Linked DNA regions of Notamacropus eugenii. The protein of the gene in region 4 interacts with the protein of the main gene of each other region in a pairwise test. Links are inferred from orthologs where the notes say so. Each region holds a gene or a part of one and is shown on either strand. Other genes may lie near its edges. The genes, in order: EFEMP2, GCA, RBFOX2 and ATXN1.

Region 1 (7,027 bases), on a different chromosome or scaffold from region 4:
CATCACATTCCCTATTACTCTCTTTCAAGTACTTTCCCCTTGAGTCAAAGTAATAGAGATGAAGTTCCCCATACTTGGGCCTCTGTCTCTCTTTCTGTGTCTGGGCAGGAGCTGTTCCTGGCTCGTTACAACTCCCAACTTCCTTCAAAGCAGATCCCCAGGGCCACCTGCTACAATAGTCTCCCTGGATGTTACTTTGTATTACTTCTAAATACTTCAGAGATACATGGGTGTTACTTTTATGTATCATACTTGGATTCTTTAGATTTACTTAGTCCCCCCACTGACTTTCCTTCTGGATGTAGCATCTCTATATGTAGCTCCCCTGCTGGCCATTAGGATATAAACTCCAGGGCAGGAACTGTTTTGGTTTTGTATCCTTGAGAAATCAGCACAGAGCCTAGCACATAATAAATTCTTAGTTGTAGTAAATTCTTAATTTCGCACTTAAATTCTCAGTGACCCATTCTCTATTTGTCGTTTCCTTCCAGGGGGAATATAAGCTCGTTGAGGGCAGGGATTGTTCTGGTTTGGTATCCTCTTTTATCCCCAGTATCTAGAAAGTAGCAGGTATTTAATCAAAGATTACTGGTCAAGGATGAACTCTATCATATTTGCTTTTCACAAGGACCCCACAGGGTCAGTAGCATTAGTGTTCCCCTTTCACAAAGAAACAGGCTCAGAGGAGTCTAGGAGCTTGCTCTGGCTGAACAGGGGAGACCTGGAGGCTCCTCCCCCTAACCCACCTCTGGGATTCTGGTACCTCCCAACAGTGCATCAAATTAAGGCCCAGGCGCCCTCATCTCAAGCTCCTCACACCTCTACAGCAATTGCTGGCTCAGTCTTCTCATCAGCTCCCTCTCATAGAAAAGGGAACCAAGAAAGGTGGAGTGAGAACTGAGTTCAAATCCCAGCTGGTCACTGCTACCTTTGGGACCCCAGGCAAGTCACTCCTCCTCTTGAAGTCTCAGTTTCCTGGTGTCTGAATGTGGAGGTTGTACTATAAGATGCCTAAGCCTCTTTCCCTGGCCAGCATCAGAGCCTTCTTTAGGGAGATTGTGGAAGCGTGCTCCTCTCCACTGGGGGGGGGAGGGAGGGGAGGCTCATACTTACCCTTACAGTGCTGACTCTCCGTGTCCCACTCATAGCCATCTGTACACTCCTAGAGCAACAGGAAGGAAGAAAGTCAGGCTCTAAAGCGCTGATTCTGGGCCAGAAGCCCTGGTCAGTGGGTTTGGGGAGGGGGAAGGGGGGGAGGGGGAGGTAGGGCTCTAGCTTTCAGGTCTGCAAAGAACTTTGCAAAGATTATCTCATTGGCTCCCTCTAGGTCAGGTGTGGTTGTTACCTGCATTTTATAGTTGCCAAAACAGAGACACAAAGAGGTGGAGAGACTTGCCCAAGGTCGCCATCAGAGGCAGGATTCAGACTCAGATCTTCCAAAATTCCAACCCCAGTATTTGATCAGCTATACCAGCTGATGATCTTAGCCCCTTTGGGGTTGGCTGGGAGATCTCCCCAAACCCTGCCTCTGCCCCTTCCTCCAGCCTTATCTCAGGATCCCCTGTGGTTTGGTCTTTTCTCTTCCATCCCCTCACTAGCCTCCTCAGTTTCCTGCTGCTTCTCCCCATACTATCCCCCTTGTCATGAGTTCCAGGGTTCCCACCATGTAGCTGTCCGGCTCCTCAGGGTCCTGGGGAGATGCAGTGCCCAGAAGAAACAGCAGCAGTAGCAGCTGTCCTCGGAGAAAGGAGACAAGAGGGAGCATCCTAGGACCAAGGAAGGAGAAGCTGCCTCAGCCTCCCCTGGATCTGGACCCTCCCCTTGGTCCTGCCCTCAGCCCCTAGTGTCCCTGAGGCTGCAGGAATCCTGCACCCCACCCACATGACCGCAGCCCCAGACATCCAGCCCTGGCTCTCCCAAGGGAAGCGTGGCCAGTCTCATGTCCACAGCCAACAGCCCTCACTCCCTTCCTAGGGCCCAGACATCTTGCTTCCCTGGACCCAGTTCTGAATGTGGGGGACCATACTTCTTGGCTTCCCTACCCCACAGCCCAGCCCTCACTTCCAGTCCTGGTTCCCCCTTCAAACACCAGGCATTTTTGTGCCTCCTCCCCAACCCCTCAGCTCTCAATGCCCCACAAAGGTTCTTTCCACAGAACCCTGATATATCTTGCCCGGAGCCTTTCCTCAGAATTGTGGAGTAAAGGAGGACCTTACTCCTAGCTCTCTCCACCCTCCAGCTCTCCCTTCGGAGCAGGGTTTCCTCCATGAGGTCTCCAGAGAGGACCAGCTTTCTGCCTCCCAGCTCCCCCCACAGAACCCAGCTATTCCGCCCCCACCGCTGTCCAGGGGATTGGAACTGTTATTAGCGGCCCACCCCCGCCCCAGCTTTTCCCATTGGATCCAGACTATTCTTCCCCCCTCTCCCCAGGGGACCCAGCTGTTCTGCGTGTCCCCTCCCCCACCAAATTCTTCCCACAAGTGCTGCCCCTCAGCTCACCCAAAGGAAGTGTGGCTGACCTCCTTCTCGGTCCCCTTGGACCTCAGCCTTCTGCCTTGCAGCTGAAGGCACAGGACCCCTGCAGTCAACCTGCACTCCTGCTCCCCCAGGGGAAGTGGGACCCACCTCACTCCTCAGTCCCCCAGCCCCAGGCCTCCCGGGATCATTGTACCCCTCCTCCCGCAGTTTGGGGTCCAGGAGGCCTGGGGGCTCCTTGCCAGGGTCAAGGGAAGGGGGACTCAGGCTTATCTTCACCCCCCCAAACTTTGCAACTCTCCCCTCCCCCACCCCTCGGCCATTCCGCTGAGTCGGCAGTTTCCGCTCAGCGGGGGCCTTGGCATCCCAGCTCCCAGCCCCCCGGGCTCGCAACACTTACTTGAGGCTGGAGCGACCCGAGCCCACCCCCCGCGGCCCCCGGGGCTCTGGGCTGCTCTGAGCCTGTAGGCTTGGCGAGGCTCCGCTCCCTGGACAAGCGGCCCCAGGAAGCGGCCGCCCCCCGCCCCCCAGCCCGCCCCGGACACGACACGGATTCCTGAGCCTGAGCCAGGGGGAGGGACCCGAGCCCGAGCGAGCCCACCGGCTGCCGGCCTCCGCGCAGCCCTGGCTGACGGCCGCCCCGTCTCGTCCCACCCCGCCCCGCCCAGGCATCTCGGGCTACGGGAATCTGACGGCCAAGGCCAAGGCCAGGACCAGGGCCAAGGTGGCCGCCTGCCTCCCGGGTTTCCTTCGGGTCCTACTCTCTCCAAGTTTCGGATGAGCCTGAAACACAATCTGAGGCCCTCTAAACCCCCAGCCTGGAGCCGAAACACCCAGAGCCCCCAATTATCCCAGGTTAGAACTGAGAAAGCCTAGAGACACCCTCAATACTCAGGCCTGAAGTAGAGTCATCCAGAGTTCAGGCTAGAGCTGGGATCCCTAAACCCCCAATCTTGCAGGCTAAAATAGAAACACCCTGGGGTCCCCAATACCATCACTTTGGACTTGAGATCCCCAGAGGCCCCCTCATCTCTTGGGTTGACACTCTTCCCCATCTCCCAACCTGAAGTTGAGAGATCCTGGTTTCCCCCCATTCCCCTGGGCTATAATAGAAGATCTCTGATATGATGCCTGCCCTGTTTTCCCCCACCCGCCATACCATTTCTAACTTGAATCTGAGAAATCCTGGCCCCTCCCAATCCCTAAATTTCAGATCCTGGTGAATCCATCTCAAGCCTCTAGCCAAGATGCCTTTCTCCCCACTGCACTCATCCCTCCCAATTTGGACCTGAGACATCTTGTTCTCTCCCCCTCTCCAAATCTCTCTGAGCAGGAACCAGAAGACCCTCATCCTCTATGCCTTAAATTCCTGTGTCTGGAGATGAGAGATCCACAGGTTCTAGATGAGAAACCCTGTCCCCTTCATTCCACGTTTCAGTTCTTAGGCTCATAGGTTCCCAGATCTAGAGCTGAAGAGGGATCTCAGAAGCCATGTAGTCTTGGAGCTGAGAGATTTTAGTCCTTTCCAAATACCCCCAGCCTGGAGCAGTTCTTGAGCCTGGAGATTAGAGATCCAAATTCCTCCCACCTACATTCCCTTAGCTTTGGGTAGATCAACTCTGGTCCCTCCAGTGTTCCCAGATTGCTGCCCAAGGGCCCAGTCCAATCCTATCTCACAATCATTTTAGAAGCTCCTTCCTGAACCAGGCACCATACCCTGGTGCCAAGGGCACAGGGACAAGAAATTTGAATAAGCTCTCTCTCTCTCTCTCTCTCTCTCTCTCTCTCTCTCTCTCTCTCTCTCTCAACTCCTCACTCCATTCCAAGCTTTGTACTGAAAGTTCAATCATCTCCTTACTCCCCGCAGTCTGGAACTAAGCCCTTGATCCCTGCCATTTTCCAAATTCAAGCTGAGAGATCCTTTTCCCTACGGTTCCTGGAGACTAGAAGTCAAGGAACTAGATTATACTCCTCCCTTCTTTCCATATATAGAACTGAGAGATTCTGGTCCCTCCTTTTGCCCCAGACTTGAATGGAGTCCCTTAAGCCACCCCCTTTCACCCCTCAGGAGCTAAGTGCCTAGACTAGATTTCTCTCAGTCCCAAGCTTAGAGCAAAAACTTGGAGCCCATCCTCCATGTTTGTTTTCCCCACTCTGAGAAATCCTGTTCCCTGATATCACAACAGAGGATTTAATTATCAGTTTTACAAATGGCAATTCATTCTAGGATAGATGATTAACAGATAGACAGAAAGACAGATATACAGATGATAGAGAGCTGTATAGAACAGAAAAATAAATAGATGAGATAGGTAAATGGGCCAGATAGGTGGAACCATAGTGGATAGAGTGCCAGGCCTGGAGTCAGGAAGACTCCTCTTTGTGAGTTCAAATCTGGCTTCAGACACTTACTGTCAGTGTGACCCTGGGCAAATCACTTCACCCGTTTGCCTCAGTTTCCTCATCCGTAAAATGAGCTGGAGAAGGAAATGGTGAACTACTCTAATATCTCTGCCAAGAAAATTCCCAGTGGGGTCACAGAGAGTTAGGACTGAAACAACAACCAAACCAACAGATAGGCAAATAGATCTTTTCCCCCAGGCTGCTGAAATCAATCCCTTACCAGAAGCTAAGATGCTCTGAGGGTCTCCCCAACCTTCTCAAGGACTGTCACCTCTCCTTCACCTTCCTCCAGCCCCTCCCTCCCTCCCTCCAAGACATCCCCCTTTTATCAGATGAAGTCCTAAGGATCCAATGGTTTCATGTATGATTTGTTAGTTTCAATTGTTTGCTTTTGAAAATAGTTAATAAATTTAGAATTTATAATATTTAAGCCTTCAAGGCTAGGCTCAAGTATCACCTTATAGGATATTCGTTTAGAGCTGTAAATGATGTCAGAGGTCATCTAGAGCCCTCCCCCTCTCCCCCCATTTTCCCCTTCTGGATCACTTCCTGGTCATGGCAGAGGGGCTTGTGGAGCTCAATGAAACTATGAGCTACACCATGAAGGATTAACCAAGACGGACAGGTCAAATGGAATTTGATGGAATCCAATTCTGATGGAATCAGGTGGGCCAAAGCTGAAGGGAAGCTCAGCTCTGGATGCATCTGGTGAAGAAGGGAAAGTCCAATGCATAGGAAACTGGGGAAGGTAAGAACTACGAAACAAGGTAAGATAGATGTGGTCAAACAGGAGGTGGAAAGATTTAATATCCACATCCAGGTGAATTCAGATGATCATCTACTACTGTGGGCAAGAATCCCTTCGAAAAAACAGAGTAGACATCATAGTCAATAAAACAGTGAGAAAAGCATTATGGGGGTAGAAGATCAAAATGACATCTGTTCGAATCCAAGGCAAACTGTTCAACATTGTTGGGGGTGTAAGCTCAGTTCCATGTGGACAGTCTTGGGCAGGTAAAAGTGAGGACTTCTAAACCTTAGAGTTCTCATGAGGCCCCCCAGGGAACAGCAGGGAATTGAGGTGTGAGACAGGGCTATCTCGTGCATTTCCGCCTCTTCCCGTAGGAAACGTGCTGGGAGAGAGCATCCCTGCCCTCGAGATTGGCCCAGGTCTGAGCACACCTATTGTTCTCTAACAGGCACAGTATTCAGGTGCAAACTATGCGGCAGGAGAGCTTAAGTAGGGTCAGGAAAGCCTGAAGGCGCTCTTAGCGCTGAGGGGCCCTTACAGGACAGAAGGCCCCTCTTCCCTCTCTCCTCTCTTCTTTCTTCCCTCCCTTCTCTCCCCACTTCCACTTCCACTTCCATTCTCTTACTGTAAGATCTTTGCCTCCTTGGGAGATTCCTCGCTCCCCAGGAAGAGTTCCCCCTGCACATGTAACCAAGACCCTGAATAAAGCCTAACCCTTGTTCGACTCTGGAAAGTCTCTTCTCTCATACGTTTATCCAGTTTGGCCAGCCGAAGACCTGCGATAGGTAAGGTAAGACTCGGGCAGCCCTCAGGCCTCTGGGCCTGGCACAACATCACAGTAATAGAAGTCTGTGCTCCAACCACTGATGCTAAAGAGGCCAAAGCTGACGGACTCTATGAAGACCTACAATGTCTTCTAGAAATAACACCCTCTGTCCCCTCCCCCATGTCACCTTCATTTTAGGAGATTAGAATGCTAAAGTAGGAATCAAGAGATAACTGGAGTAACAAGCAAGTTTTGGAATATAATAAAATGAAACCAGCAAAGGCTTATAGAGTTTTGCCAAGATAACTCTCGGGTCAAAGCAAACACCCTTCTTCAACAACCCAAAAGGTGACTCTACACACTGACATCACCATATGGTCAATACAGAAATCAGATTGATCACATGCTTTACAGCCAAGGGTGGCAAAGCTCTACACAGCCAGTTAAAACAAGTTCTAGAGTGGACTGTGGCTCAGATCACGAGCTTCTCGTTGCAAAATTCAGACTTAAATTGAAAGTAGGGAAAACCATCAGACCATGTAGTATGGCCTAAATAGTGTCCCTTATGGATATGAAATGGAGGTGATGGATAGTTTTAATGAATCAGATCTGAAGAACTGTGGACAGAGATT
Region 2 (7,617 bases), on a different chromosome or scaffold from region 4:
ATTTACATCTACAATGATAAGTCACTTCTAGTCTGAAAAACCCTTTTAAACATTTACAATGAAATAACTGTGCCTATTCCTATAATACTTTCATTTAATGACCTGCTTTAGTCCTAATATTAGATTAAAATATTTAGACAACACACAACCATATGATACATTACTCTCAGAAAGTAAGCATTAAGCAACCACAGATATTGGGTCTATGCTCAGTGATCAGAAAAAGGAGTACCTTTCTCTCAAGAAATAGTCAAAAGAGAAAATAATTCCAACATATTTCAGACATATTAAAAAATATATATAGGACAGAAGCAATTAAAATACACAGAACGGGCTTTGAGTGCAAGGTCATTTAGTGAAATGGTGAATGAAGCTCTAGACACCATAATTACGACTGACCAAATGTTGAGAAAATACTCTTTCATCATTCCTGTAAGAAGAAATTTCCAGTGTGCTTCAGTGACAGCTGCCTGAAGCAAGTACAGACCTGAGAAACTCACTGATCAAAGGGATGGCCATCCAGGACACACTTCACTAGAACAGTGAATAACTCAGGCACTTAGCTTTGGGAGCATGGAAATGGAGAAGCAGCAGACAAGCCCAAGAAAAACTGAACAGCTGGAATGAAGCATCATTTGCTTGAAAAGCAAAGTCTTCCAGACAGTTACAGGAAAAGTTCTGAAGATGGCAAGAATCTTAGTATACATTATTTGGGGAAGTTAAGGTCTAACACCCTAGACGGTGGTTAACAATTTCCAAATAAAAACTTTAAAACGGAAGCCCTTACCCCACAATTCAAGGCCAAGAGTTCCTGATAACACTGAAATTCAGTATTTTACTCCTGCAAGAGAAAGGTAAAAGAGACGCTGCCTCCCCTTTCTTTATGGGATTCTAGTGAATCGGTGCCCTAGGAAGCTACAGGTAAGTCCTGAAGCGACCTCCAATTTTAGCAACTTTCCTACTTAAAAATAAAACAAAAGAGAATTCGTCAAGGACGCAAGCTCCACGACAACGAACCCAAATCGCTCTTTGGGAAGCATACTGGACAAATTATTTTGCCGAAAAACTTTGTTAGGGGGACCATTGCCTTCCGGAACGCTAACACACGTACACGCGTGTGTGTGTATACATACAGACAGCTAGTCGGTTATCTACTCATTTGGATCACGCCTGGTCAGGAGAGGAAGTAGTGGGGTGGGGGAGGGGAAGGTTCTCCCCCTCCAAAAAAGCGTGGGGCGGGTCTTGTGAAAGGTTTACGGGAACCTGGGCAGCGTTTTCTTCTTCCTCCGCCGTAGCACAAACGGAGGAAGTCTCCATCTTAGGAAACTAAATTCCTCAAATATCCCACTTAGGTGAAGCGGGAACCGACACGATTACCGCCTCGCCTCTTCCCTCCGGAGAGCGCATCCCGGGGAAAGAGGCACACAAAACCCCTCTCCTCCCCGACCTGGGGGGGGCGGGGCAGGGGTGAGGGCGGGGGAGCAGGCACCTTCTCCGAGCCCGGGACCAGGTGAGGAGGCACGCGCTCCGCCCGGGCTCCTGCACAGCCCCGCCCGCAAGGAACCCCGCAGCCAGCAGGTGCAGGAGGCGGGGCCTAGCCCCGCTGGCACCGCCCGCTGGGGACGGCCACACCCCGAGGGGGGCGGAGGTCCAGGGCGGCAGGGAGATGCCCCAGGCTACTTACCCCACCTCCGTATCCAGGATAGGCCATGGCGAGCGGAGCGGGGCAACGCGGTCCAAAGCGAAGGGAAGGGGAAAGAAAGAAACACGAACGAGTTTCTTCCGTCTGCTCTGAGCCCCGCGGCCCCCCTCTCCTTGTCCGGCCCCGCCTTCCGTTCCTCAGCTCCTGATTGGCTGCTGAGGATCTCGCGAGACTTCCTTCATCGGCCGCGAAGACACGCGTGTGTCCTGCCCCTTAGGTTCGAGGGCGCCCTACCTCTTGTCAGTCGCAGGGGGTCGCTGGCATGCTAGGTCGCTTTTATCTGCTCTGAGAAGTTCCCTCGCCTTTCCTGGTGGACCCTGAGGCACCACCATAACTTCCCTCAGCATGCCTCCTTGAGCCCGGCTCTCCCAGGTGGGAGGCTTCTCACCCCGAGATACCCCCCATCTTCACTGAAGGGGTAGTGACTTGAAATGCCGGCTTTCCCGTTTCTACTCAAACGGGGCCATCTTTGTAAAGCGCTTTGCCACACGTACACATGACTCCCAACAGAACGCTAGTACTGCTTCACCCCTAGCCGTGGGCGGTTCCCACGTGCTGGGCGCCATCCACACGTCTCAAGCGCCTTCTGGGTGCCGGGTTCTGTGCTAAGAGCCGAAAGGACGCCCTGAAGACGGCGCCTGCCCTCTGGAAGCCTACAGTCCAGTGGGGGAACAGATCCAACCAGGCCAAATAGGACCGGGGCAGGCGCTGGCACTGGAGGGGCTGGGGAAGGAAGGCTGGAGCAAAAGACAGGGTTTTAGTTGGGACTTGAAGGAAGCCAGAGACATGAGAAGTGGGGGGGGGGGGGGGTCCAGGTATTGGGGGGTCAGTAAGAGAAAATGCCAGAAGCGTTGGCGCGGAGGCCAGCGTGACTATCGAAGGATGTCTTTGGGAAAGTAAGGTGTAAGAAGCCTGGAAAGGTAGAAGGAGGCCAGTTCTGGAGGGCTTTCCAGTGGCAGTCAGCGCTGGAACCCCCAGGGAGTCCAGCGAGCACAGGGGGGGGCCGCCGGGCTTGGTTCTCAATCAGAGTGGATGGGACGAGAAGGAAACCTGTTACCTGGAGAAGGAAGGTGCAGGCCTGGGAAGGTGGGCGGCCCATGGCCCCGAGGGCTCCAAAACGCTTCCGAGGCCGCAAGGAGAAGGCAGACGAGTTTACTCCAACTCAGCCACCAAAACTGCCTCGGGTTCAGTGATTTGCCACGGCTCATGCCAAGGTTTGTCCCTGTAATGGGAACCCTGGGCCTCTCATCCACGTTGGAATCTTAGAACGTTAGAAGTGAAAGGGACGTTAGAGCTTAGAGCTGCCCAGCAAGAACCTTTCTCAGACTGGGGCATTTGGGAAACCTCCCCCCACCCCCGTGAAAAAAAGGACTGGCTTCCTAATTTTCAAGTAAAAGTAATCGATGAATATTACTTGTTTCAATAGACCTTGGGAGGTGGGCAGGAATCTTGACATTTTCCTTAAAATATAATGGGGGATATGACTGAAGAATGTATTCCTCACCTAACTTTCCCTTCTCATTTAAATTCCAGCGGTTTAAAAACAAACAACTTTTTGTTCTGAATTTAACAACCACAAAAAAAAATGTTTCCATATACAAGATAAAACAAAAAGATGTATTAAAATGCACATTTCTGTTACATGCAGATTGCTTTTTAAAAAGTATATAGTAAATTTAATTTGTTCCTTTCAAAGCTGTTATTAAGCTGTGTGCCAAGCACTGGGCTAAGAGCTGAGTATGTGAAAGGAGGCAAATGATCATCCCTGCTCTCAGGGAGTTCTCAAACTAATGGAGAAGGCAGTAAGTACACAGATTTGTAGAAGGAAGCAATGTAGAATAAATAGGAAATAATTAAAGAGGGAAAGCAGTAGAATTAAGAGAGTCTGTGTTTCTTTCTAAGTCAATGACCCCCCCTTTCTTTACTTCATTTTATTGGCAATCTTTTCACTATGGTTCCCAATTTTTAAAAAAAAATTTTTAAATTAAAACACAATCCTTGCAACAAATAAAAATAAGCAGGAAAAACATATCTGCATATTTGCCATGTTCACAAATGTATGTCTAATTCTGCCCTTTAATTCCTCTGTCAGGAGGTAAAGTATCATGCTTTTTCCTCAGGCCTTTGGAATTGTGGTTGGTCATTGGCTTGATCAGAGTTTTTAAATTTTTCAAAGTTGTTTTTCTTTACAGCGTTGTTACTATATCAAATCTTATTCTGGTTCTGCTCAGCTCGCTATACATCATTTCATGGGATCTCCCCAGGTTTCTCTGAAGCTGTTCCTTTTGTTAATTCTTAAAGTTCAATTATGTTCCATTAAATTCATATTTAATGGGCAGCTAAGTGTTGCAGTTGATAGAGTGCCAGGACTGAAGTTAGAAATTGCTGCTGAGTTCAAATGCAGCTGCAGAACATTGATTAGCTGTGTGACTATGGACAAGTCATTTAACTCTATTTGTCTCAGTATCCACATCTGTAAAATGAGTTGGAGAAGGAAATGGCAAATCACTCCAGCATCTTTGCCAAGAAAACCCCAAATGGGGTCACAGAGTCAACACAACTGAAAAAAAAATGATTGAACAACAAATTTATATAACAGTTTTTATTCAGCCAACCACAAATTAGTAGGTATCTCTATTGTCTCCAGTTCTTTGCTAAGACAGAAAGAGCTGCCTCTAAATATTCTTTGTACAGAGTTCTTTTTCTTTCTTTGATCACTTGGTGTATAGGCCTAATATTAGTTTAACTGGGTTAAAATATATGCACAGTTTAGTAACTATTGGGCCATAATTTCAACTTGCTCACCAGAATGGCTTAACCAATTTATAGCTCCACTCAAAGTGTATTAATGTGGCTGTCTTCCTGTAGCAAATATCAACTGATATTTTCCATTTTTGTAATCTTTGCCAATCTGATGGGTTTTCAAGTGAAACCTTAAAGTAGTTTCAATTTTCATTTTGCTAATTATTAGTGTTTTGGATCAGTTTTTCCTTTGGGTTGCCTTGATTTCTTTCTTTGAGAACTACTGGTATATATCCATTGTACAGTAATCCGTTCAGAAATAAATAGCTTTCATTCTTATATAGTTGAATTAGTTCCATATATCACATATGTAATACATCAGGCTTTTATCAGAGAAACAAAACTAAGTTTTTACTTACTTTTGTAAGATGTTATATAAGCAAAACTAAAGAAAAAGCTACATGGGGCAAGACATCTCATTGTTTTTCAGACTTCCTGGAAAGGGATAAAAGATACATAGACCCTATAAAACGTGGAACAGTTCTATTTTGAACAGGAAGAAGCAGAAAGGTCCATGGCAATGGTCCAAACAAAACTCTAGAAACAACTGGTAAAACGTAAGTTGATTAATATACCCAATTAAAGGTTTATACTTCTAGATGAAACTAAATTATTAATAGAGATTGGGGTGGCAGTTTAACAGATGGTTCTGAAGAAGTAGAAAGAAAATGTTGCTCATAAAAAGCTTTAAATAATTAAGTAAAATAAGACAAAATAAGACAAAATTTGTTAAAAATTCAAGCATGAACTTCCATCATCAAGAGTAGTGTATATATTTTTTAGCTTTTACAAGGGAGTATTTATTTCAAAGATACGTCAAAAACACAGGTAAACATGTCCCTCAACACATAGGGCCACACTCTTAACACATTATGCTGCCTATACCACACTTTCTGCCATGCTACCTTGATCTCTAGGGAAAGTGGGCTTAGCACAAAGTCTACATAGCATTAGTCCCACCAGGTCCAAATTTAGCTACATTATGAGTCTTCATCTCAGCTATTGCTTCAAGGCCTTAATGCTGGGTTAACTGCAAAACCTTTGCAAGAATTTGATTCCCAAACTCTCCTACTGTCAGATGGTGTTCTCTCCTGACCTTTCAAAACTCATAAATTTACAATTTCCAACTTCATATGTGTAAACAAACAAATGAAAAAGTAGGCAAAGAACAAAAGCCTATGTTCATTCAGTCCTATCAACTGCAGTTTTGTTTTATAAAATTTTATTTTACACAATTTATTCAGTGAAACTAAACATTTGTTAGGCATCTGCTATGTATGTGCCAGGCACTGTGCTAAGGTGGGGATACAAAGAAAGTAAAAAGATAGTGCCTTCTCTTCAGGGCATTCATAGGGCATGCATCCATGAGGGAACACAAAGAAAACAACCCACAAAAAAGGAGGGACAGAGTAAGTATCCCCTGGAGGAGTGAAACCCAGTGTGAATGAAGAGATGGTTGATCCAAGTGCCCTCCTAACATAAAGGTTCTGAGAAGAGCTCTCCTTCTTCCCATCAAAGAGGATGCCAGTTCATGAGACCACATCTCTAGCCTTGGGTGAGGGAAAAACCAAAAGCCTTTCCTTTTATAGCTTTGCCTCTTACTAGAGGTTGTCTCTCAAGAAGAAGTCAGCCAAGGAAATTGTGCTGATAATGCATTTTTGCTTATTGTTAATAGAATTTTGCTTGTTAATGGGAAAATCTTTCCCATCCATTAATAGGCCCATGTGACCTACTTAAATCACATGAAAGCCTGAGTCACGAGTCAAGTTTCATGGAACAGAAAGGGGTAGAATGGGAAGAGGTGGAGCTAAAGCAGGACTGAGAGGAAGTTAGAGAGCAATCAGAGTTGGGAAAAGCAGCAACTAGCGCGAGACAGCTTGTTTGTGATTTGTTTAATGTAGCTGATTTGTGGGAAGCCTAACAGAGGGAAGGCTTGGGGTTGTTGCCCTCTGCTACTGTGTATAGATTTCTTTGTTACTATGATGGATTTGGCCTTCTGGTGTCTGAATAAATGTTTTGGTTCTGTCTGACATGTGGAGCCGTCAGTTGTATTTTGCAATTCAGAATTGTGCCGGGATATTCATGACTGCCACAGATGCTATGAACACCATGTTGGCACTACAGAAGTAAAACTGAAAGGAAAGGAAAGGCTGAAGCCAGGCCTTTGGAACTCATCCCCAGCTCAAATTCTAGTTCTAGTTCTCCCACTGTAGGCAAAGGGGCTGATATCCACTATATAGTTGGCAAACCAGAATCAGCTACCAAAAGGCTATGTGTGCTTCATATCTCTCCAAGACATTTTCATTACATATCATCTCCCAAAAGTGGGCTTCCCAGCCTCTTCTGCGTAGGGAATTACACCATGAGCACTCTGCACCTAATCATAATGGCTGTTATTCAAGAGGACCACTGACATCATGGGGTGATGTCTTGTCTTGCACGTGACTTGGATTTAAATGAGGAAGAGTTTCACAAAGGCATCAGCTTTACTTTCTCTTCCAGAGTCATCAAAGTCCAGTGACAAGACAAAAGTCAAGAGAACTGGCCTTGGCTCAGGATACCTTGATACGACCTTGGTCTGACTATTTCTCAGCACTTGCTTCAGTTGCCTTCATGGCCATGGGAACAAACTGTTCTCATCTACCTATTGGGGGTATGAGGGTGGGGTGGAGGCTACATATGCTTGGGATAGACACCCCCCTAATTCACCAATGCGTTTGAGGTTCATCAGTTACCCTCAAACTGTGTTAGCCCATCTGCCTGGACCGTTTGCCAGGTATGGCCCCAAAACATGCTACAGCTTTTTGGAGCCACAGAGGAGAGTTGAGTGCATTGAAAAGGGCTCACACCAGAGGTGTGTAATGGTAATTTAAATGGAAAGATCTCTCCCATTCATTAATAGGCCCATGTGACCTGCTTAAATATGTGGTGGGAGGAGCTTGATGAAAGGGTGGAACAGGAATGGTGGGGCAGAACTAGGAGGAAGTTAGTGAGAGTAGTTTCCGGTAGAGGAGAGAGGATTCAGACAGGTACAGCTAGTCTTGTGAGCTGTTTGCTTGTGAGAAAGGCCCTGGTAGGGGCTGGGGAGGGAAAGAGGCCCCTGCAATGCTAAT
Region 3 (7,746 bases), on a different chromosome or scaffold from region 4:
CCAGAGCTGGACACTGGCAAGCCCTGAATATACGGACATGCCTTTGGGCTACAGTAACTAGAGCACTTAGGAACTAAAAAGTAAATAAATAAGCATCAGTGAAAAAAACACTGAGACTTACAATTGGCAGATAAACTGCTAAATCTACTTCCTCTCCTGCATCCCCCCAAAGTCCCAGAACACCAGGACTCAACAACTTTAAGATCTTCAGTCAGTCTTAAGAGAGATCATTCCATGAGGTTAAGGAAGAAAAAAAAACAATCTCAAGAGACCAAAGGAACTGTGTCCTACAGAAACTAACTGTCAAGCACCCCTGTCAAAGTTCCAAGCCTTCAGCATACAGCTTTCACACCAACGATGGGACACCTCAGCTTCTAGGTCTGAGAGGCCACTGCTTTCTTTCTAGTTTGCTTCCAGGATCCTAGATTATGGCTCCCTGTAGTATTTCTCCCTGCTAAAGTAAAAAGTCTGAGCAAAACAGGCAGACCAAGCAAAAGAATCCTGTAAGAAAAAATGCCCTCAATGTGGGGGGACAACTGGGACCCCATGGCACAGTAGGTAAACAAATGGGTCATCTCCCTTAAATCAACACATAACGGGACAAAACTACCTTCTAGAGAACAGATTTTGTCTTTTAAGAAGAGCAAAGAATCCTACAGAAAAGTACCATGCATGGGCACAGCAATTTCTGTGGCTCAGGAAGCCCGTAAGGGCTCTGAAAATCAGGAAACAAAGCTGAGAAGGCATTCAAGGTCTGCCCAGACTTCTAAGGCACCCTGGTCAGTTTGAACAACTTCTGGTTGCACAAGCAGGGTGAATACCACAGTGAGCAGCACCCCTCACCTCTCACACTAAATAAGGCTTTTCCAGGCTGAGACCATGCCCCTCTCCCCAACCACGAAGTGCTCTGGCTCTGACCTCAGACCATGTACCACAGACCAAACACCACACTCCCCATTCTTTCCACCCCTAATTTCTCATCTCAGAATCCTGAAGGTCCAGAAAACTTCCTTTCAGGCTTGAAGACAAGGAAGTAGGAAAGGAGTCTGTGAGAAGCCTGGCTGTTCATCCAAGGGATGCACCAAGCCTGGCACAGGAGGGATGCTTGTTGGCTTCAGTCTCAGCAGACATGCTGTTCCAAGTTAAGGAGGCTCAGCGAGCTGTGACCACAGTACCAAACTCTGCTGTTGCTAAAAGTCCCACAACTGATTTAACCCACAGCCTAAGCCACATCCCCTTTCTACTCTCTCTAGGAGTAGATTCTCCATCCCTCTCTTCTCTTGTCTAACTTCCTTGAGTCCACCTCCTCCATTTGTAGACCTTCTGGCCCAGAGTACTCAGGCCCTTATAGTCACAACAGCCCCTCCTTCTCGTCCTCTTCTGCTTGGTTCATCTGCTTGTTCCCAAACAACATATCCAAGCTTATTCCCATTCCTTTCTCCTCAAGAAGAGAGGAAAGAGATGGCCAAAGGGAGTCTCAACCCCACCAGAGTCATTCTCTCCTATCTTTCATTCTTCAGTATCTCTACGATCCACTAGTTGCCACCCATATTCACACACCCATACAGGGCTCTCTCTCTCTCTAGCCCTCAACACCCCCTTCTTCAGATCAGGTCCCTTTATACAAAATGAGAATTCCCCTTCAACTCCCTTTCCAAAACTAAATAACCCACCCAAAATTAAGGGCTCCTCATCCACTCACCTGCAAAACTGAGTTCCCCACCACCAAATTAAGAACTCCCTCCCAATGTTCCACTATGTCACTTCCCCCAAAATGAACTGCCCTCAAAAAAGCATTTCCCAAAAGTTGAGCACACTACCTCCAAAAGACCCCTCTTCAAAAATGAGGACCACCAAAACCAAACATTTCCCCCTTCCAAAAATAGCTATTTCTTCTAAAAACCTTGGTCTCTGTCCAAAACTAGACATTCCCATCACCAAACAAGGTATCACCATCATAATTCCCCCGAAACAAGTGACTCCCAAATCTAGCAAAGCCCTCCTTCCAAACTTCAAAATCTGTGTGCTCCACCTCCAAAACAAGGTGTCCTCCCTTTTCTCAAAACCAGATGTTCCCTTCTCCAAAAAGTTATCTTTCCAAAAAGGATGTTCCGCGAAATGAGTGTCTCTCAAAGCTAATGTCAGATTCCCCAACACTAGCATTCCCTACATGATTTGGGAACCCCAGTTTCTATTTCCCCAAAATCAGGTGTTCCTAACAAACCAGGTATTCCCTAAATGTCTTGCTTCCCCAAAACTAGCATTCCCCCCAAAATCTAAAGATTCTTATTTTCAAACCAGGTGATTCTTTCCCCAAGCCAGAAGTCCCTCTATGCAAAAATAAATGCCCCTCTTCCTAAGCTCCAAAGCTACCTTGCCTTCCAAATAGCTGAGTAACCGGCTTCCAAACCAAATGTCCCTGTCCCTGTTCAACCACGTGCCCCCCCTTCCCTAAACCAGGTATCCTTTTAAAATCAGGGTATACCCATCCCCGAACAGAATGCTCTTCCCGATGAGTGTCTTCAAAGGCAAGCATCTCCTTACCCAAAGCGGTTGCCCCTCCAAAATCTAAGCACGCCCCAAACCAAGTATCCCTCCCCCTAACTAGATGCCCCCTGTCAAGGTGGATGTCCTGCTCCCCCTATCCAGATGCCCCCTGCCAGGTGTCCCGCTCCCCCCCCCCCCCGCCAGATGCCCTGCCTCCCGCCAGGTGTCCCCCCTCCTCCCCGCTCCAGATGCCCCTCCCCCGCAGGTGTCCCGCTCCCCCATTCCGGCGCCCACCGGCCCCGCCCCCCTCGAGCGTGCCCCGCCCCGTCCCTCTCACCTGCATGCCGCTGCCTCCCGCTCCGCCTCCCGTTCCTGTTCCCGCTCCGGCTCCCGCTGCGGCCGCTGTCCCCTCGTCGGGCCGAACCTGGGCCGGCGCCCCCGCGCCCTCCGCCCCCTCGTCGGTGCGCTGCCGCTTGCCCGGGCCGGGGTCGGCGGGGCCGGGGCCCGCGGGCGGCGGGGGAGGCGGAGGCGGCGGCTCCAGCTCGGACTCCCGCTTGACGCCCCGCGCGGGGCCGGGCTGCGCGGGGGGCTGGGGGGGCGGCGGCGGCGGCGGCCGCGGCTGAGCCTGGGCCCCTTCCGCCATCCGCCCGCCCGCCGGCCCCGCCTCGCCCACTCCGCCGCTCCGGGCCACGCGCGACAGGCCGCCGCCTCTCGCGCCCTCACACACGCTGGCCGCGCCGCGCCCCGCCACCGGCCGCGCGACAGTCGCGACTCACGGGCTCCCGGCGGCCCCGCCCCCCGCGCGCGCGAGCGACTCCCCGAGGCGGGCGCACACTCCTCCACGCGGGCGGGGGCACGTGCGCGTGCGCGTGCGCGACGGGCCGGCCTTTGGCGCGCTCGCCTCGCTCGGCCGGGCTCCCCTCGCCTGGCTCCTGGAAGCCTCGCTCTCGGTCTGGGCCTCGCTCTCGGGCGGCTCGCGACGGGGACAGAGCGCGCACGCGCCCCCGCGGCTGCTGGCGCGCGCGCGCACGAGGCCTTCCCCCCCCCCACCGCTTGGCCGGCCAGCCTCCCGCGCGCTCGGTTTGTCACACACGCAAACCCTCGCCGCCTGAGAGCCAGACACAGACACACCTCTCGAGGGCTCCAGACCGGAGGAAAGGAGTGGGGCGGGTCCGAGATCCCCGGGGGGCGGATGTTTATTTGGGGGAGGGGTCCGGGACCCGGAGCGAGCTGACTGGCCGGGAGCTGCGGAGCCGCCTTCGCAGCAGCCCGGCAGGGGCGGGCCCGAGGGGAGGGGGCGGGGCCCGTTCCCTTCGGCAATCTCCGTCGCCTCCGGTCAGTGGGGCCAGATCGAGCCCGACCGGCGCGATAGGGAAGGAATCGGCAAGTTTCGGGAATCTCCGGGAGGCGAGGAGGGCTAGGGCAAAGGGAAGGGGGCGGCAGAACGGATCCCGAGGGGAGGGGCGGAGAGGAGGCGGAGGCAGAGGCGGCCGGCGAAAGGGGTGGGCGTGGCCTGCCGCCTTTGGGGGCGGGACCTGCTTTTCAGGGGCGGGGTCACAGGTCTAAGGCGAGCCACTCGACAAAGAAAAGGGGCGGGTCCTGTCAGGGCCCCACCCCCAGGTTGAAGCTTATACAATCAGGGGTCTAACTCGGCCCAACCTTTTCATTTGCTGAGACTTCCCCAAGGTCACACTACGTAGCAAGCCGCAGTGCTGGGATTTGAACCCTCCGTTAATTAGATTCAATTTGTCCCGTCTCTATCATACCTACCTGGCCCTGCTAATAGAGCACTGGTTTTGGAGTCAGAACGATCTGAGTTCTCAGACATTTACTTGCCCCGCGATCCTGGACAAGTCACTTATTCTTAGTTCTCTCAACTGTAAAATGAGGATAATAATCCCCAGGTTTGTTGTGAGGATCAAATGAGATAATGCCTATAAAGCACTTAGCCCAGTGCCTGCCACGTAGTAGGCGATTAATAAATGCTTGTTGACATGACTTGAACCCAAGTCCTTTGTCTCCAAACACAACCCTCATGCCATTATGCTGGAGTTGGTGGGAGGTGGAGGCAAGGGGCAGGGAGGAATCTTCAAATCTGGGGAGGTGAAAGGGTGAGCCTGTTCTACCTTGGGCACAGTCTGATGTTCGCCTAGGAATGGAAAGGAGTGTGGAGGTGCCGGTTACTTCTCTCGGAAGGTGGAGGGGCGTGGCCTATTAGCCTGGAACAAGACTTTCTTTGCCAGGCTGGAGAGGTGGCTGGGCGGGAAGTACTTATCTCTGCAGTGAGAGTGGTGGGCTGGGAGCCAAAGAGAAGGGGGAGGAGTTGGGCGCCCCGCCCCCCCTCAGGTGACCCTTGTCTTAGGCTCAGTGGATGCAAACCATTATGACTCAAATTCACCCATCTGGGGCCAAGGGAAGCTGTGCCTGAGTAGAAAGGTTTGTGGGTGTAGGAGGGAGATTGGCGGGACTCTCCCTCTCCCGTTCTGCTTGCAAAAAAAAAAAAAAATCTCCTTGCAATAATAATAGCTTGTGTTTTTATATAGTACCTACTACGTGCTAAAATGCTTTACCATGATTTGATCCTCCCAGCAACCTTAAAAGGTAGGTGCTATTATTATATTTTACAGATGAGGCAGACGGGTTAAGTGGCTCACTTAAGGTTACACTGCTAGTAAGTGTCTGAGGCCAAATTTGAGCTCAGGGCTTCCTGACTCCAGACGCTGCACATCCCAGTCCAAACCCTGAGACAGTTCTCTTGGTCCATTTGTTCATTCCATGAGCATTTATTAATTGTCTGCTCCTTGTGTGCAAAGCTCTATGGGGATCCAATGAAAAAACAGTCCCTGCTAGCAAAGCCTGTACATTCTCCAGTGGCGGGCAGGGAGCTAGCCTTGGGTTTCATTTGACTTGTGATGTTGTGGGGCCCATAATTTTTCCTGCTCAAAGCATAGGGGGAAAGAGGGTCCTACAGTGACAGGATATAGATTTAGAGCTGAAAAGGATCTTAGAGGTCATCTAGTCTGACTCTCCCCTTCCCCTCCTTTACAGGAGAGGAAATTGGGCCCCAAAGAGATTAAGTTACATTGAATGGCAGAGCCAGACTTGAAACTCAAATCCTCTAACCCCAAATGCAGCCATCGTTCCCTTTTACTGTCCTGCCTTTCCTTCCCTCTTTTACCCCTACCTCTTAGCAGTCCCAGGTTAGAAGGTCCAAGTCTCTCCTGCCTCGAGCCTGGAGGGGACTGGGGTAGAGTTCCGAACCAGGAACCAAGTGAACCAAGCAAAGCCAACTGATGGGAACAGCTTTGGCTTCAGGGTCAAAGGGCCTGATCTTCAAAATCTAGCTCTACCACTGCCTGGGTGATCTTGGGCAAATCCCTTCCCTCTTGTGGTCACAGTTGCCTCCCCCATAAAATGAGAGCATTGGAAACGCTGCTCTTCTCATGAATTGTCTATTTAAAGTAGTAGGCAGATTCCTCCAGGGCAGCCTATCCAGACTGGGAAAGTTGGAACCCCCTTCCAACAAATGAGTGCTGACCTGGCTTTGAGGTGGCAGCTGGGATAAGCCAAAGGTCACCTGGAAGCATGGTGATTTTCTGAAAACTTCCACCCCCTACCTCTCAGGACAATGTCTGGGGCCAGGTCTGCCCAGTGGCCTTCTAGGTCCTTTGTTTTAGCTATCCATGTTAATCCAGAGCCCCTCTGAAAAGCAGAGATAAGTATTGGAGGAATGCTTGCAGAGGCAGAACAAAGAGAAATCAGACCCTGCTGGATAAACAGACATGTGGAATACCTGTGAGCACCAGTGAGGTGGGGGAGGGGGACCATGAAGATAGAGATGGCTGATGGGAAGGACCCCAGCCCAACCAACACAGTCACCACTAGCAAACTCTAGTATGAGCCTAGGAAGCACAATGCCCTCTGAGCAGTGGGAAGTGGGAGCGGGAGGGGCAAGTAATCTCAGTGTGAAATAGAGACTGGAAGGGAGAGGAGGGAGATGCTGGCTGGGGAAAGGGAGGAAATGACCATTCCTTGAGTGCTGGGTTTCTTCACCTTGTATGTATCCTGGATGCCTTTAGCAGTCTGGCAAAGCCTGTGGACTCTTTCTCAGAATCCTGTTTTTAGATAATTGAAGGAAATGCTACATTTCAGTTAGGTTAGTAGAAGATGTCATTTTTCCCCAGACAAATTCACAAGCCCCTAGAAACTTTCCACAGACCTGTAGATCCCAGGTTAAGAGGGGAAGGGGAGAGGAAAGAGATAAGCACGTATCCAGAACCTACTGTGTGCCAGGCACCACACTAAGCACTTTTTACAAACATCTCATTGGATTCCCTGCTGGAACATAAGGAAGTCATGTTTTAACTCCAAAATGCATGTGATTCCCAACACATGAAACCAAGAGCCAGTCTCAGTTGGGTGCCTAGAAGCACCAAGAGGTGTCTAAGAAGTCACTGCTGCTCCTTGCTGCTGAAACCCAATGCCCCAGACCCAGAGTCAGGAAGCAAACTGTGACTTTGAGCCCGGGAACCACCCAGATCCGGGACCCCTGCTCCATGAAGTCACCTCCTTGCAGGAAAAACAACCATAGGCCCCAGCCCAGGAGAAAGGGGCGTGGGTGGGGGCAGTGATTCAGATCTGCCCCCAGGGTCCCACCCCTGAACTGGCACAAACCAAGGAACTTCTGGGAAATGCCCAAAGCAAACAAACTTGCCTCCCTCCAACAGAACACCAGTGGTGCTCAGGACCCCCCATTCCCCTAAATCTCTCATTTCTCTCTAAGTAACATGAGAAAAAGGAACCTTAATAGATGGACTGTTCCTACTTCACTGCTGGTTTGCATTTTACAAAAGCAAGGCAAGAGAAACATCCTACCACACTCAGGGTGGGGAGAAAGAGGAAGCAAAAGCAGACTCCTGCCATGTGGCAGACTGATCCCGGGGCAGATACCCACCCTAATGAAAAATTGGATTCCGGCTAAGATAAATGCCATTTTAAATCTCATTCCTAGTATAAAACTGGCCAGGCTAGACACCAGCATGGCCTCCTGATGTTGACAACCCGCACCTCCATTGTGCCTGGACTTTATTGGACATGGCTCTGCCTGTAGACTAGAGAGCTTGCTCTAGCCTTAGCATTCCCCACATAATGAGTGTGTGTCGTTTCTATTTCTGTAGAATTTGATGAGGGATGATAACAGGGTAATTGAATTCATTGTTTTCTTTCAGTGCCAGCCCTCTGCCCCCTGGCTTTTTAAAT
Region 4 (7,766 bases):
ATGCATGAACAGTTAGAGGGCAGAGGAGATTAAATAGCATGGTATTAGCAGCTATGATGCAACCTCTTTCCAATAGCTTATTGTGGGATTCCCACCCCCCCCCCCTTCCCTTTTCTCTTGTAGCACCCTCCGTCAATAACCTTCATTCCGAGGAGTCAGCGGATCAAACTATTTTCATCCGATGAATAATGCAAAGAGGTTGTTGGAAGATGGCAGGGGTCTCTGTTAACTGAAGGTTTCATCAGAAATCCAAATGCAGAAAGCTTACCTAAGGCATTAGCAAAAGTGTGCCTAAATAAATCTGATAACTAACTAACCATTACTACATAATATATAACAATGACGATTAAATATTAAGTGCAGTCCACATCATAAAAAACAAATGTCACCAAACTGGGAATACTCTGTATCTAAAACTGAACTTATTCACCTATACACACGGCTGTGTATTCAAGACCATATTTTAAGGAGAGGATGATATTTCAAAGCATTAGCTTTTATTGTTTATGCACAACGGGGTCTTCTGATTTTGTTAACTGTATCCTGAGCATCTTGTGGGGGAAGCTCAGAATCTCATCCGGGATAGATCCAGTTTGGAGGAGTCCCTACTGCACAGCATACGGTAAACAAAATAAAAATAGCTTGTTCTTGTTATCCACATAGAGCATTATATAACCAGCTTCCGACTTGGGTTTTTTTTTTTTTTTGCCATTACTACTCCTCAGCAATTTTCCCATCTGCAAAAGTATTTAAATGTTCCCAATTTTTGTAGGGTTGTAGCTATCAAAAACAACAAAACAAAACAGTGCTGGAATGGGTTTTTGCTGATTCCCAACGTCCTTGGAAACTGTGCAGTGTCCCCCCCTCCCCGACACAATCTCCATCAGCTTCAGTCCCTCCTCCCTCACCCCTCACCAAGGTTCTCCCTAGAAAATCGGAATTGTTTTACCACTTCCAGCAAAAACCCTGCATGGCCTGAAATAAAACGAAAGCCCAGCACAGGAAGTTTGAGGCCAACTGAGGCGGGGGAAAAGGTGAAGGGGTTGAAGCTGGTGCAGGAAGAAAAAAAAAAAAAACAAAAAGCAGGAGACCAGAGATGACCAAGGTCCCAATCTCAAAGTCCCTTTCTAAGCATGACCCCTTCCCCCAATACACACACACACACACACACACACACACACACACACGCTCACACACGCTCACACGCACGCACGCACACGCCCCTCTTATTACAACACCTCACTTCTACCTCTCCCCTTTGGGCCCCGCTTGCACACCCTCCCCCTCTCCCTCGCTTGCCCTCTGGGGACTGGCCTGCACTCACTCAGCACTGGAACAAGTAGGAGGCGGTGGTAGTGGTAGTGGTGATGGTGTCTCCGGCCTGGCCCGGCCCTGAGTGAGCAGCGGGGCTACTGGGCGCATCCCAATCCCTGCAGCGTCTCCTCCTCCTTCTCCTTCCCCTCCTCCTGGCTTCATTCACCCTCTCAGCAGCCACACAAGCCCTTTCACTCTAGGCACGGGGGCAGGACTTGCCCCGCGGCCACCAGCTCCTCTACTACTCTCTTACGCTCTCTCCCGTGCAACGTGCAGCCGGCACCCGCGAGCAGCCTCCCCTCACCCCTCGAACCGAGTGCTAGCCAGGCACCGGGCAGCGGCAGCAGAGCGGCGGCGGCGGCGGAGGCAGCAGCAGCAGCAGCAGCAGCAGCAGCAGCAGCAGCAGCAGCAGCAGCAGCAGCAGCGGAGGCTCCCTCCACATGATCAGGAAGCCGCCGCACAAACAAGGCAGCAGCCAGCCAGGGCCGCCACTCCAGCCGCGGCCGCTGCTCCGGGCACCCACAGACACACTCACGCGCGCGCGCGTCCCCTCCCCGTTACCCTTGCCAGCCTCAGTCTCTCTGTGTCTGTCTCTGCCTCCCCCTTACGCCCCCTCCCCAGTGCTCCCACCCCTCTTCTTCTAGCCAGGGCAGTAGGTCTTGGTCACTTGCAAAGTCCTGGACAGACCCCCCCCCCCCCACACACACACAGAGTTTCCACTTCCCCTAGATGTGTACACACACACACACACACACACACACACACACACACACACAGATGGACAATCTTCCCAGGCTTGGCGACCCCCAGTAGCAAAGAGGAAGAAGCCGGTAAGCTGGGAGTCCAGCCCTCCCCAGAATCAACACATACCTACGCGTGCACGCTCGCTCACACACACACACACACACACACACACACACACACACAGAATCCCTCCTTCCCAGTCTGGAGAGTGCAAAGTAGGGGTGAGTGGGGGGAGTGTTGGGGGGGCTGAGGTGGAGAGGAGTGCAGGCTGCTGCTGACTCCCTCTGCGCCACCCCGAGGGAGGACATTTCTTACAGGCACTCGGGAGCCCGAGTGGCAGCAGCAGCAGTAACAGGGGTGCACTGAATCTCCCCGGGCACCCAGGGACAATCCACCCCCCGCCCCCTCCCCCCAGGGGCGCGTGTCCCCCACCCCCTCCCGCCCACACCTATTCCATCTGCTTCCTGGCCTGTTCCCTTAGCCAATTGCCCCAGCGCTAGGAGTGGGGGTGTTGGCAACAGAGAGGCTGAAGCGTAGGAAGGTTGTATGTACACACACGCACACAACACACACACACAACACAACGCGGATCATTTTCTTCTCTGCTCTTCCAGCTGTGGTTGGTGCCGCCGCCGTTTGAGGGTTTGGGTTGGATTTGTTTGTTGTTGTTGATGATGTAGTTCCCGGGATAGCAGAAAGAAGGGTCTTAATCTATATAAGGGGAGAAGAGGACGGGGAGGGGGGAGGGGGAAGAGGGGGGAGGAGAGTAGAAGGGGGAGGGGGAGAGAAAGAAACAGGAGGAAAAAAATAGCCACTTACTGTAAAGTGTAAATGGATCTGGGGTTGCTTGGGGAAGGGGGGCAGAGGGAGAGAAACAATGTCTTGCGGCGGCTGTTGCTGCTCGCTGCTGCTGATCCACAGGGCTTGTTTTTTATCCCCCTGCAGTGAAACAGGTCCTGGACGCCTCTGCCACTGTAGTAGAAATGATGTCTGCGGTATACACTGCTCTCTCCTCCTCCTCCACTCCCCTCCCTCTCTCCCTCCTCCCTCCACCCCCCTTCTCTCTCTCTCTCTCTCTCTCTCTCTCTCTCTCTCTCTCTCTCTCTCTCTCTCTCTCTCTCTCTCTCTCTCTCTCTCCCTCTCTCCCTCTCTCCCTCACTCTCTCTCTCTCTCTCTCCCTCCCTCTCTCGCTTGCTCGCTTGCTCCAGTATGTAAATGTGTAATAGAAGCCAAATATGGAGCAGTTGGCTGCCGCTGCAACCGCTCAAGGATCCTACTGGGGGGTGGGGGGGAGTGAAAAGAGCTGGGGGGGGGGGGGCGGGGGCAGAGGAGGCCGGACTGGGGTGGGGGGGGAGGGGGAGGAGGCAAGGCAACTCTTTGGCGAACATCCAAGAGAGCCACACAGATTATTGCATACGCACAGCAGAGCCCGGCCAGCCGGGCTTAACCCTTCCCTGGTCTCTGCACAGCCTTCTTCTAAGAATTTACTGGGAGGGATTAGGGACTGGCGGGGGGTGGGGGCTGGGGGGAGAGAGGAAGCAGTTTTCATTCCAGAACCTGCACGCATTAACCACTCCTCGGAAAAAGTAGCTTTTTGGGGATGGGAGGCGGTGAGGGATGATAGTAAAGGAAGGGTGGCAGAAATGAAAGGTCAAGGTGGTGGGACTGGCTTATTTAAACCTCAGAGGGTGGGTTCTTACAACGCCTCCGCCACTGCCTCCCCCCTACACAGACACACGCACACGCACACACGCTCACACACTCTTCTTTCACTTCCTTGGCAAGCAGGCAGGGAAAGGTCTCCGAGGAGCTCCGACTGACTTTTTTTACTCAAACCCCAAGGAGGTTACAGAAGTGTCGACTTCCAGGTGAGTGCCAGAGAGAGAATTACTCAATCGACATTGACCTAACCGAACTAACCGCTCCTCTGGACACAGATGCTCAAAGTGTCTTGCCTCTGCTAAATGAACAACTCATGTCAACCCTGAAACCGGTTGAGCGAGCAAGTGGGTTAGCAGTTCAAGGCTTGGGAACTCATTCTTTAATGCAGAAGATCGAGGATGACTACGAGGTCCCTGAAATCTGCACTAAATTCTATTGGGGAAACTTTGAGGGACTCCCCTTTCCCTTACCTCCACTTTCTCTGAAGCCTAGTAACTGACTACCCCTTGCCCATTCCTTTACTCTCGAAAGCAGGCCAGAAAAGATTCTTTGGACCCGGATGTTCAGTAACTATTCCTAATGTCTCAGCAGAGCAGCCAGCTACAAGAGACAACATCTTCACCTGGACAATGTCAAGTTCATTGATTTAATCCGAAATGAGGTCCTAGTGAAAGTTGGGGAATGGCAGATGTCAAATGAACTTTAGACAGCTGATTCAAGCACATCCTCTGGGCTCAGTGGTAAACTCTTCGGGGTTGTTAGGGTTTTTTTTTTTCTTTTCTTTTTTTTATCCCTTAGTTGAATGTTACCTCAGTAGGAAGGAATCTCTTTCTGAGAATTATTCACCTTGCCAACAGGTGTGGCATACATAGAGGAAAAGAAGCCACATTCATGCTGAAGCAAGCTCAGTTTCCTCTTACAGCAGATAAATGGGGAACCTATAGGTGTCGGGACACTGTCTGGTCTCCTTCATGGAGTTAGTCTGGATAAACAGGGAACATTCAGCTCAAAAAGAAGTTTACATTGCATTTTAATACTCTACTTGTTGCCTCTATGTTGAATGGATCTTTCAGCCTCATTCATGTGTGACTGAAATACATTAGTCAACATGTCATGCAAATCCAGAATCACCAAAAGAAATGTGGTGTCAGCTTGTAGCCCCCTGAAGGGCTGCAAAGCCTTGTACTTTAGATATGAAAATAAAATAGTGTGTTGAGTATGAAAAATAATTTTTTCTATCATTTTGAAAATCCGAGCTCATAATTTGTTACTCATGAAAAAGAACCATTGGTCATCATTACTCATTTTTATTTATTTTTACCATTTGAAAATCCAGGGTCTGCTGTACAATGACATTGTTGGTCTCATTACAGCCTCTAGTGGACAGTTATGATCCATTTCTCAAAAAACTGTGATCTTTTTTGCTGTTCCAATGGACAGGCATTAGCAAAGTGAAGGTTGGTATCAAATAACATAACAAAACATAAAATTTTAACCTCCTCATCAGAGTGGGATTTTGAACAAAAACAGGAACTGGTTGGTTTTATGCAGTAATGGCTTCTTTTTGGAGCCTCAGGTATTATTACTGGCTTGTGAATAAATAGAGAGCTGCTGCTATTCCTTTCAGCTTCAGACAGCTTTCATAAAAACTAAATTCATCTAAAATATTTTTATAACAGAAAATATTGGTTGCCATGTTTTTGGCTTAAGTGAGACATTTTTATTCCAACTCATAATCTGCAGACTGTCCAATCCACCTCCAGTCTATTTTTAGTCATCTTGCATTAAGAGAATTTTTTTTAATAAAGAAGCAAATATTTTTATTATTTCATTGACATAAGCAGTTCAAGTTATTTTAACAGCCTTCAGCAAATTAAAACTCATAATTCAGATTAAAGTCAGTCAATTAATTTAAATGCACCCTTAAGGAAACTAAATCTGTATATTACTAAGACAGTAAAACAAGAATGTGCATTAATTTCTGAGATGAACAGCCATAAACTATGACTTAAATCTGTAACTATTTCTTCCTGCAAGTCCAAAAACTAAGCATAATTTTCATGATACCGTTTCATTATCTAGGGTATTGGAGACAGTTGTTTTCAGATGAGAAAGGATTAAATTGAAAATAAGACAGATCTGGCACTGTCTCTTTAAAAGTGAGACTATCTCATGCAAATAAAAGCTTAGTCAAAAGAGTACAGCTTTCATGAAACAGTAAGCAAATGTGTAGTACTATAGTACTATTCACAAACCAGATATTACATTCACACATGGACAAGGCAAACTTTAAAAGACAAGGAAATGCCTAGAAAAGCCTTCCATTCTGTCCTCTGCCACCATTGTACTCCTGGATTCGGGGAATCTTCCTACCTAACATATGTCTTGGATTACTTAGCTATCAGGAACATATAAAGAAGTCTACCCATTAAATTTTATTGGCTGCATGTTTGTGGGATTAGAAATATTGTATCAAGAATGCTTTTATACTTTAAAATAATTGGCTATAAAATAATAGTTTCCAAAAAAGTTCATAACTCCCACAGTATTCCACTTAACTCCTATGTTCATTCATCCCCCTTGTCTCTTCTGTCTGTTCCTAGAGTCTTGTCCCCATCAGTTTGTGCCTTTAAAGGTTTGGGGGTTTCTTAAAGACATAATTATTTTCTGCCATTTCTGTGTTCTAGTTCATGAACTCCCTAATTTGTGGACACAGTAGTAATTTTTTTCAAAGACATTGCACCCTGCTGAGGAAATTGTACTGAAGTCTGGATGAGTTAATGTTTCCATCAAAGCAGTAGAGGGAGCACAAGCGTGCTGAATGTAATAATTGTATGGGTCTCCAACTTCAGGGCAATTTAAAAATAGTGGTTCATAAATCGGTTTATTGGCAGTCGTTGGATAGGTATGCTTTGTTTAATTATTGACAGAGATATGGAGTTAAAATATTTACTACCACGTTATAGCAGTTAGATATGGACTGATGTAGGCATCTTTTCAAGTTTAGTACTCAGCACATACACCTATTTAGAATTTTTATTTAAATTCTTTGATGGAATTTTGATCTTATTCCAGTATCCTCCACCCACCCAAAACTCATAACATACCCAAATCAAACACTGCAACTTTGGATAGACCTTCCTCAAAAACAGTTAACTCATAAACACAGTCAGCCTTGTCTCATTTTGACTGAAGGACTTAGCAAAAAAGACATTTGCACAGGATCACAATAATGTTGTTTGGAATGAAGTATTATTTTAAGAATATATAATAATATTAATTTTTCATCAGTTTTGACTGCTTAGCTTTAAGGCACATGATGAGAATTTATCTTATATTTGTGTAGCACCCTATATACTTTGAAAGCCCTTTTAAAAAGATTTCATCTTTATATATTTCTGTGAGGTAACTAAGATGATAAATGAGGCCACTGAGATTCATGGAGATTATATAATTTAGGCAAGGTTACAGACTAGTGTCAGAACTTGCTGGAAAACCCACATCTATTGACTCTTAGAAATTCAGCTCCAGTTGAATTTCTCCATAACACCTGTAAGTGGATTATAAAATTCATTTCTTACTGATCTATTCAAGAGGCCTAGGTTCAAATCTTGACTCTAAAATTACCATTATCTTCCCAGTGTAGTCATTTAACCCCTCTGAATATCACTTCTTTCTTTTATCTGTGTTTACCTAGGGGAACAAATCTAATTCTTTAGGAGGTGAATTTCTGTTGTGATAAATGAGAATACCTCTGAAGAAACAGTCCTGCTCTACTGCTCAAATCCTATTTAGTTCCTGGATCACTTAGTCAGCAGCCCTCACACCCATTGGGGTTTATTGTATCAGTTCAGCAAACCAATATCAGCTGCAAACCACAGCATTTAAAAGTTTATTTTTTTTCTAGAAAACATATAGCAGCTGAACAATGCTTTACTTCTAGTTCAATAACTTAGTTACTAATTTGAAAAAAGTTAAAAATATAGGCCGTATCATATATGTATCTTTCCTCATTAAATTGATTTAAAATTACATTAGCAAGCTCA

The links.
Region 1: the proteins of ATXN1 (region 4) and EFEMP2 interact in binary tests that used the Homo sapiens proteins (3 or more experiments, as listed by UniProt). The link is inferred for Notamacropus eugenii from reciprocal best matches to the Homo sapiens genes ATXN1 and EFEMP2.
Region 2: the proteins of ATXN1 (region 4) and GCA interact in binary tests that used the Homo sapiens proteins (3 or more experiments, as listed by UniProt). The link is inferred for Notamacropus eugenii from reciprocal best matches to the Homo sapiens genes ATXN1 and GCA.
Region 3: the proteins of ATXN1 (region 4) and RBFOX2 interact in binary tests that used the Homo sapiens proteins (3 or more experiments, as listed by UniProt). The link is inferred for Notamacropus eugenii from reciprocal best matches to the Homo sapiens genes ATXN1 and RBFOX2.

What each region holds. Positions count from the first base shown.
Region 1 is NC_092873.1:18,572,190-18,579,216, forward strand, and holds the start of EFEMP2 (EGF-containing fibulin-like extracellular matrix protein 2), read right to left. Parts: upstream 3,118-7,027; 5' UTR 2,876-3,117; intron 2,598-2,875; exon of another isoform or gene 2,500-2,597; intron 1,767-2,499; 5' UTR 1,766-1,766; coding exon 1,664-1,765; intron 1,163-1,663; coding exon 1,114-1,162; intron 1-1,113. UniProt on the Homo sapiens protein: Plays a crucial role in elastic fiber formation in tissue, and in the formation of ultrastructural connections between elastic laminae and smooth muscle cells in the aorta, therefore participates in terminal differentiation and maturation of smooth muscle cell (SMC) and in the mechanical properties and wall integrity maintenance of the aorta.
Region 2 is NC_092876.1:221,930,023-221,937,639, reverse strand, and holds the start of GCA (grancalcin), read right to left. Parts: upstream 3,067-7,617; 5' UTR 2,802-3,066; coding exon 2,760-2,801; intron 2,445-2,759; exon of another isoform or gene 1,712-2,444; coding exon of another isoform or gene 1,685-1,711; intron 1,568-1,684; exon of another isoform or gene 1,490-1,567; intron 842-1,489; exon of another isoform or gene 788-841; intron 1-787. UniProt on the Homo sapiens protein: Calcium-binding protein that may play a role in the adhesion of neutrophils to fibronectin. May play a role in the formation of focal adhesions.
Region 3 is NC_092874.1:293,145,512-293,153,257, forward strand, and holds the start of RBFOX2 (RNA binding protein fox-1 homolog 2), read right to left. Parts: upstream 3,146-7,746; 5' UTR 3,131-3,145; coding exon 2,825-3,130; intron 1-2,824. UniProt on the Homo sapiens protein: RNA-binding protein that regulates alternative splicing events by binding to 5'-UGCAUGU-3' elements. Prevents binding of U2AF2 to the 3'-splice site.
Region 4 is NC_092875.1:189,266,885-189,274,650, forward strand, and holds the start of ATXN1 (ataxin-1), read right to left. Parts: upstream 3,124-7,766; 5' UTR 2,878-3,123; intron 1,850-2,877; exon of another isoform or gene 1,325-1,849; intron 1-1,324. UniProt on the Homo sapiens protein: Chromatin-binding factor that repress Notch signaling in the absence of Notch intracellular domain by acting as a CBF1 corepressor. Binds to the HEY promoter and might assist, along with NCOR2, RBPJ-mediated repression. Binds RNA in vitro.